Mus musculus: one gene and its partner. The protein of the gene in region 1 interacts with the protein of each later gene in a pairwise test. Links are inferred from orthologs where the notes say so. Each region holds a gene or a part of one and is shown in the gene's direction. Other genes may lie near its edges.

Region 1 (3,636 bases):
TTCACCTAGAACTTGCTCTGTTCTAGACTGGCCTTGAACTCAGAGACCTGATATTCATTGCCTCCTGGGATTAAAGGCTTGTACTACCACGCCTGACCTAAATTTAGCTGCAAGGAATCTTGCCCCAAGATCACTCACTACTCCCTTAATTCAATTTAATCTCCTTGCGCATAGGATTCAGCTCCATTTCACTTCCTGGTGCCCCTTTAGTATTCAAACAATAGATTTTATATTTTTCCTTTCTCAGCTTGCTACACTTACTTAAAGTGCTCTTCATGAGACTTAGCCAGAGAACAGAGTCTATGATAGGTGTTTTTGAGACTTCCTTTGTCAGTGCAATTAATCTGAGTCTCTTCACCTTAACCTCAGGCAGACTCTTCAGACAAGTGCAAAATGTCGCCACGTTCATCACCAAAATACCATATTTTGAAATTCACCTCTTGGGCCACTCCCTGGGCCAAGCATATCCAATCCCTCACAGCCTCCATGTCATTGTATAGCAGCAGTGTCTGTAACAGATGCGTGAGGAGTCTGGCTGCCTTTCATTCATAGTTATATGTATTTCCACAAACGTTCTGTCCCTATACTGAGGGGCACCATCAAGATGACATCAGTGTTCTCTCCCCCAGAAAACCTATTGCACACTTAGGGTTTTTGGGGGGTGGTGGGGTGGTGGTTTTTTCCAAGACAAGGTTTCTCTCTGTGTAGCTCTAGCTATTGTGGAACTTGCTTTGTGGCCAGGCTGGCCTCGAACTCAGAGACCCGCCAGCCTTTGCCTCTCAGGGGCTGGCATTATAGCCCCCACCACCAGACTAGGTGACTAGGTGACTGGGTGTGTCAATTGAGATCGTGTCCCAGGCCTCATGCTTGCTGAAAACACGTTCACCCACTGAGCTCCACCCCACGCCCCAGATACTCCACAGTTACATGTGCTGTCTTTTATTGAAATATTTCCTTGTTGCTTTCTAATCAGCTTGCATTCTACTGTTGCACTGTTTATGTTATCTATGCTGTCATAAGAGTGGCGGCCATCCACCTTCCAGTCCACAGACTGTGCAGTACCCAGGAGAGAGTGCTCTGGTCAGAGACCCGTGTTGTGTCTGATGGGCAGGGTTAGCAATCTCATCAAAAGTGTTATTTCCACTGAGTTTAATGTCTTCTGCTTCTTTCTGTTAGTTGGTGGCTCCTCCAGGGCTTTGATGGTGAGGGCAGAGGCACAGGGCACCACCTCAGTCTGGCCCTGTCTGTTCTGATTGGTCAGGTTCTCTGTAACCCTGAGACTTTTCCAGTCGCCAGTAGCCTTGGCAGTGTCATCACCAACTTGTTTTGGATATGGACCCAGAGGACTGATCTTGGGGGCCGAGGCAGTTGTGTCACCAAATTGGCCTCTGGTGCACCTCACGTACGACTTTGATCTTGTTGGGGCCAAACTTGGGCAGCATGGTGGAAGCACCTGGTGTCAGATAACCCGGATTTGGGGTGATCAAAGAAAATTGCACTGTAGCCCCCTCTGAGCAGAAAACCAAAAAGATGGATGTTCACCTGTACAGCTTCGAGCTATGATAGAGCAATATGCATAGGAGCCTGTTAAATATTTGTGGGTTTTTTTTTCCTTTTAGGTTTTCTTGTGTGAAAAATGAACTTTTGCCCAGTCACCCTCTCGAGTTATCAGAAAAAAACGTGAGTGTGTTATGTGTCTTTCTTTTTTAAAACAAACTATCTTAGGTATATTGGTATTTTGTTAGCATTTACTTCTGCATACCAGTAGAGGGCATCATGACATTGTGAGCTGCCATGTGGGTTCTGGGACTTGAACTCAGGACCTTCAGAGCTCTTAACCACTGAGCCATCTCTCCAGCCCTATGTCTTTTTATCCCGTGGTAGAAAATTAGAAGTAGGTATGGGCCCTTTGAGATCAGACAGCCATATTTGAAGACACTTGGGGTGCCGTTACTGTATACAGGAGGGGAGGCGGGCAGATCCCTGGTGATCACTGGCTGGCCTAGCTGAATCTCTGGGTTCTGGGTTCAGTGAGAGACCCTGTCTCACAAAATAACACGGGACTGTTGAGGAGAAACCTGGCGTTGACTCTGTCCGGTGTCTGCAGGAATACATATACGTGAACACACATGAAAACCACACATACACATGCCACACACACACACAGATGCAGAGACATAAATGTTATAAAATCTATCAAGAAATGTTAACTCTTGGCTTCAGGATTGTTGGTGTCGCGTGTTCAGAACAGTGTTGCTCCCTTCATAACTAACGAGCTTTTGGGTTAGAGTCACTCTGTCTTCTGTAGTTCCAGCTCAACCAGGACAAGATGAACTTTTCCACGCTGAGGAACATCCAGGGTCTGTTTGCTCCCCTGAAGTTACAGATGGAATTCAAGGCAGTGCAGCAGGTGAGTCTGCCTCTGTCCCTTGTGCCGATGTTCTCATGGTGGCTCTCAGACCTGACCCTCCATGCTCCCTGTCCTGCCTCCCTCTGTAGCACATGACCCTTGTTACTGCTTCGCATAGGAAAAGTTGTTAGGTGGAGAACGGCTTCATGTCATAGACGCAGTGTCTGAGAATAGCATAGTTTTCTGCCTTCGTGATTCTCTGCCCTCTGCAGGCAGCTGTGCATATACAGCTGGGTGTGCCTGTTGCTAAGGGATAGCTGTGTGCAGATGTCCTTCTGCCTGGGAGAACTGTCCCCTGCCTGGGTTCTGGGCCCCATTGCGTCACACTGCTTCAGGGAACAGCTCCCTGCCAGCAGCCCTGCCTGCTGGGACACCTTTTTCTTCTCTCCTTGCTTCAGCTCATCAGAAGCAGTCACAGACATTCAAATCCCATCTTAAAATTGTATCGATCCCTAACTAATTAGTTTTGAGATAGGCTGTCTCACCAGAAACTTTAACTGGCCTCCTAGAACTTGCTTTGTAGAACATGCTGGCCTTGAACTCCCAGGGATCTGCCTCGCCCCACATCTTTCCTCACTTGTCTGCTGGTACAGGTTGAGCTGCTGGGAGCCATTGTTCCCTATGTCTGTCACTTTGCTTCCTTCTCTGAGCCAGTGTCTTCTGGCTCCGGCCTGTGCGGGGTTTGCTCCTGAGCAGGGCAGACATTTTCTCACCCCAGCTTCTCCCTTTTCCCTGTATTTTTATAGACCTTAAATTGGTGTCCCCTTCCTCTCTGAAACCCATTTGCAACTCTGTGGTTCCTTCTGTCTGTCACCTGAGATGCTGGTGGTGTTGGGGGCCAGCTTTGTTCTCTCTCCTGTTTCCTGCCTGTACTCTGTGCTGTTGACTTTCTCTAACTCTCCTGACCTGTTTTTCTGGTTGGAAGGCCCACAGGCATCTTGGATTTCACAGGGGGTATGTAGAATAACTCATTATCCTTCACCTTGTGGGTGAATGGGCTTCTGTCTAAGGACGTTGAAGTGTTTGTCTTGTCACCCTCACCCTAAAGATCTGGTTCTTACCAGATCTCCATGCCACCCAGCCCCCTTCCCCCAGAGTGACTGTAAACCTCTCACTGTGTCCTGCTTCTCACTTTGCCCTCTAGATAAAGCCCAACTGCCTGGTGGATCAACATCTGCCTCCTGCTTTAGACTTCCATGCATTTGTTTCCTGCTACTCAGGATCGG
Region 2 (4,298 bases), on another chromosome or scaffold:
TAAAGGGTGGAAGAGAATCTTAAAAATTGGTTACTATTAGCAGGGTGTGGTATGTAGCCACATGCTTTTCCACCTAGAAATAACAACTCTGAGACAATACTTCTGAACAATTGCTTAGGCCAGTAGCTTTGGCCTGTCCCCTGACTCATAACTCAGTTATCCTTGTAAAGTAGTCTGAGTCCAGCCGTGCAGTTGCTTACCTCTCCTCAGGCTCATGCAACCATCTCTTCCAGAGCTCAGGGCGAATCTCCCATCTCTTGTGCCTGTATTTTCCACCCACCTTCTAATCCTGCCTCAGCTCACTGGCCATAGACTTTTTGTTGACAGGTGAATGCTTTTCTAAGAGATTATCTTTACAATGGTGAAGCACCTTTAATCCCAGTGCTCTGGAGCCAGAGGACGTGTGAGGGTCCCAGTTTGAGGCCAGCCTGGTCTACAAAGCAAATTCCAGCTCAAGGCATGACTATGTCTCAAAAAACAAACAAACAAGGAGGTTCGAGAGATGGCTCAGTGCTCTTCCAAAGATCCTGAGCTAAATTCCCAGCAACCGTAGCTTACAACCATCTATAAAGAGTTCTGATTTCCTCTTCTGGCATGCAGGAGTACATGTAGATAGAGCATTCATGTACAAACAATAAATAAATATCAAGAAGAAACAACAAAACAAAAACCTTTAAGGGGCAGTGAGCCTGGTGTGTGGCTCAGGCCTGCCTTTCATTAGTCTGAAACAAGGCAGGAAAACCTGGCCAGTTAAGAGGGGGTAGCCTGGCCTACCTACCTAGTAAATTTAAGAACAATCCGGATAGTAGAGCATGAAACAAAAACAAAAAAAACAAACTAAAAAACCAACAACAAACAAAAAACCCAAAAAGCCACAACAAAACCCTAGCTAGGGTATGTATATAAATGCTATCAAAAACAGGCGGTGGAGTTTTTGTTGTTGACAACCAACTATTGCGGCTGAATTAATACCATGGGAAAATGGTCTGAAAACAATTATTTGAACCAGGATTAGGATAGGTGGCCTTAAAGAAAATGGCCACTTCAGTCTCTCCTTAACGGGGTTTTGAAAAATAAAGAAACAGCTTGCAATCTGAACCTGGGCCTGGGCAGTGACCAAACACCCTAGTCCAGTTAGGAGTCTTAAGCAGTTACGCCCTTCTCAAAGATGGCCGAATTCGCTTCCCTCACTCGAGAAGAACATTCCAACCACTCTCTAGAAATTAGAAGTTAATCTTATCCGTACTACTTCGATGCCAAAATAAAAATGGCAATCTTAACCACTCAGCCATCCTTCCTAGGTGAACACAGACCGGCGCTGGTATTTAGAGGTGTGGTTGCCCGGAGTAAAAATGGCGCCGCCTCCGTCTAGACTTAGCTGGACGTGAAGTTGTGACGTCGCGGCGTTGCCAGTCGGAGGCAGTTCCTGTTGCCCTTGCTAAACATGGCGCTGGCTAGCGTGTTGCAGCGGCCGATGCCGGTGAATCAGCACGGGTTTTTTGGGCTCGGAGGTGGTGCAGATCTGCTGGACTTGGGTCCGGGGAGTCCTGGTGATGGGCTGAGCCTAGCCGCGCCGAGCTGGGGCGTCCCGGAGGAGCCGCGAATCGAAATGCTTCACGGAACCACCACCCTGGCCTTCAAGGTGCTCAGACAGCTCGCGCTTCTCCGGCATCCCAGCCGGAACCGGGTCGGGCGGAGGTTCGGTCCCCTCCTCCCGACCCTTGGCGGGTTCACTGTCTCGTAGCCTTAAGAAAGGAGAGGTGGGCGGAGATAGGGGGCGGTGAGGGAAGGAGACGGACAGCGTGGGTTGGCTCCTAGGCGACCCCAGTTTGCCCCTTTTCAGGAGCCCTACCTGGGAACAGCGGACCGTGGCGGAGGGTGCGGGGGGGAAGCCATTGTCGCCGTTCACCAAAGTTTGTATAAACTGAGCTTGATGAAGTCCAGGGGCTACTGAAGTGGGTACCGAACAGTTAGGGTCCCTGTTCCAGCCCTACAATAACTAGCTCTGGATCTTAGGCTAGTCTTTAAAGATTTATTCTTATTTTTTGTATATACACCACGTGTGTAGTGCTCGCAGGCGCCAAAAGAGGGCGTCGTGTTCCTTGGGACTGGAGTTACAGACCTTTGTGAGCACTGGGAACCGAACCTCTGAAGAGCAGCCAGTGCTCTTAACCACTGAGCTCTCTCTCCAGTCCCCTTAGGGTGTCTTTATCTCATTAAACTTGCTACTTCATATTTAAAGTGAGTAAAAGGGCTATTCATAAATCAGGAACTGCTGTTAAACCCGAATGACATTTAACATAAGAAGTCGATTACGCCGGGTGGTGGTGGCTCACGCCTTTAGTCCCAGCACATGGGAGGCAGAGGCAGGTGGATTTCTGAGTTCGAGGCCAGCCTGGTCTACAAAGTGAGTTCCAGGACAGCCAGGACTATACAGAGAAACCCTGTCTCGAAAAACAAAAACAAACCCCAAACCCCCCAAAAAAGAAGTCGATTCCAAAATCCCAAAAGATGCAAAGCCAGGTTATCTTTCTGTATTTATACAAAAATAAAGTATGGGGAGTATTTGTGGTCTTACGGGGCCTCTCTTTTTGTTTTCTCTGACCTTAACTAGTTTCTCCATGGAGTCATTGTTGCAGCGGATTCCCGGGCCACAGCAGGTGCTTATATTGCTTCCCAGACGGTGAAGAAAGTAATAGAGATCAACCCGTACCTTCTGGGCACCATGGCTGGGGGTGCAGCGGATTGCAGCTTCTGGGAGCGGTTGTTGGCTCGGCAGTGTCGAATCTATGAGCTTCGCAATAAGGAACGCATCTCGGTCGCAGCAGCCTCCAAACTGCTCGCTAACATGGTGTATCAGTACAAAGGCATGGGGCTGTCTATGGGCACCATGATCTGTGGCTGGGATAAGAGAGGCCCTGGTGAGTTGTGTCCTGTGAGCCATGGTGGGAAGGGGTTAAATGGGTGGGAGAATTGAGGGCTTTTAACAGGTGCTGGGAATGGATGCGATATTAGGTTCTCAGCTCTTCCTTCCCTTTCCAAGGAAGGCCTTGTACGGAATAGGAAAGAGCATAGAGTTAGACTTGCTGTGTCACTCACTGCTTAGTCATTTGACCTTAGCCTATTTCTTCATCTGGGAACTGGTTAAGTGAACCATTGAAGCGGTTAAGTGTGGTGCACATAGAGCAATTGGTACAATGTCTGGCACAACAGCTCTCCTTCTTTCCCATGCAATAATGACTAGAAAACATTTGTACTGGGGAATTGTAAACTTTAAAAATTGTGTTCTATTCTAGCCAGGTGTGGTGGCACATGCCTTTAATCCCAACACTTGGGAGGCAGAGGCAGGCGGATTTCTGAGTTCGAGGCCAGCCTGGTCTACAAAGTGAGTTCCAGGACAGCCAGGGCTATACAGAGAAACCCTGTCTCAAAAAACCAAAAGAAAAAAAATTGTGTTCTTTTCTATGCTTGGGTGTTTTGTCTGCATGTATGACTGTGCACCACAGTGCATTCATGGTGCCTGAAGAGGCCAGAGAGGGGATTGGATCCTCTAGAATGCAGTTACTGATGGTTGTGAGCCACATGTGGGTGCTCAGAGCTAAACCCAGGTCCTTGGCAAGAGTGGCCCGTCCTTCTTCCCCCTGCCCTGGGGGCCATCTCCCCAGCCCCCCCCCCACTTTTAAATTTTAAGTTAAATTATTTATTTGTGTGTGTATGTGTGAACAAACACATCCTACAGCATATCTGCAGTTCAGAGGATAACTTGTTCAAGTTGGTTCTCTTGTTCTGTGGGCCGGGCTCAGGACATCAGGCCTGGTGGTAAGCAACAGTTATATGCTGACTCACCTCACTGGCCCTCATTGTAAAAAATAAATAAGCCAAGTGATACACAGCTGTGACCCTAGAGCACTAGGGAGGGTCAAGAGTTCGAGGCCAGCCTAAGCTGTATGGCAGAAGGACAGCCTGGAGCACACAGAAACATTGTATCTCAGAAGTCAGTAAAACTAGTGGAGTTGGTGTATAGTTAATTTTATATAAAATGCCCAAATTATTTCTCAGTACCTGGCGGTAGTACCATTTCAAGTGTTGAAGTCAGTTTCATGCAGTCTCTAGCCACTGTGTTGCATGACAACGATAGGCTACAGAGTTGTCATTTAAGCGTTATCTCCCACCATTCCTGAGTCCTGTGCTTGACTTGGCCAGCATGCTTGCCTTTTGGAGTTGCCGAGAGAGCAGGAGGGATGGTTAACATACTGTGAGGAGAGATGGGTGGTATGGTGCTCTGGAATCTGGAAATC

Evidence for each region.
Region 2: the proteins of Pomp (region 1) and Psmb5 interact in binary tests that used the Homo sapiens proteins (3 or more experiments, as listed by UniProt). The link is inferred for Mus musculus from reciprocal best matches to the Homo sapiens genes POMP and PSMB5.

Annotation. Positions count from the first base shown.
Region 1 is NC_000071.6:147,867,104-147,870,739, forward strand, and holds part of Pomp (proteasome maturation protein), read left to right. Parts: intron 1-712; exon of another isoform or gene 713-1,619; coding exon 1,620-1,680; exon of another isoform or gene 1,681-1,828; intron 1,829-2,308; coding exon 2,309-2,410; intron 2,411-3,636. UniProt on the Homo sapiens protein: Molecular chaperone essential for the assembly of standard proteasomes and immunoproteasomes. Degraded after completion of proteasome maturation. Mediates the association of 20S preproteasome with the endoplasmic reticulum.
Region 2 is NC_000080.6:54,615,138-54,619,435, reverse strand, and holds the start of Psmb5 (proteasome subunit beta type-5), read left to right. Parts: upstream 1-1,440; 5' UTR 1,441-1,444; coding exon 1,445-1,642; intron 1,643-2,614; coding exon 2,615-2,921; intron 2,922-4,298. UniProt on the Homo sapiens protein: Component of the 20S core proteasome complex involved in the proteolytic degradation of most intracellular proteins. This complex plays numerous essential roles within the cell by associating with different regulatory particles.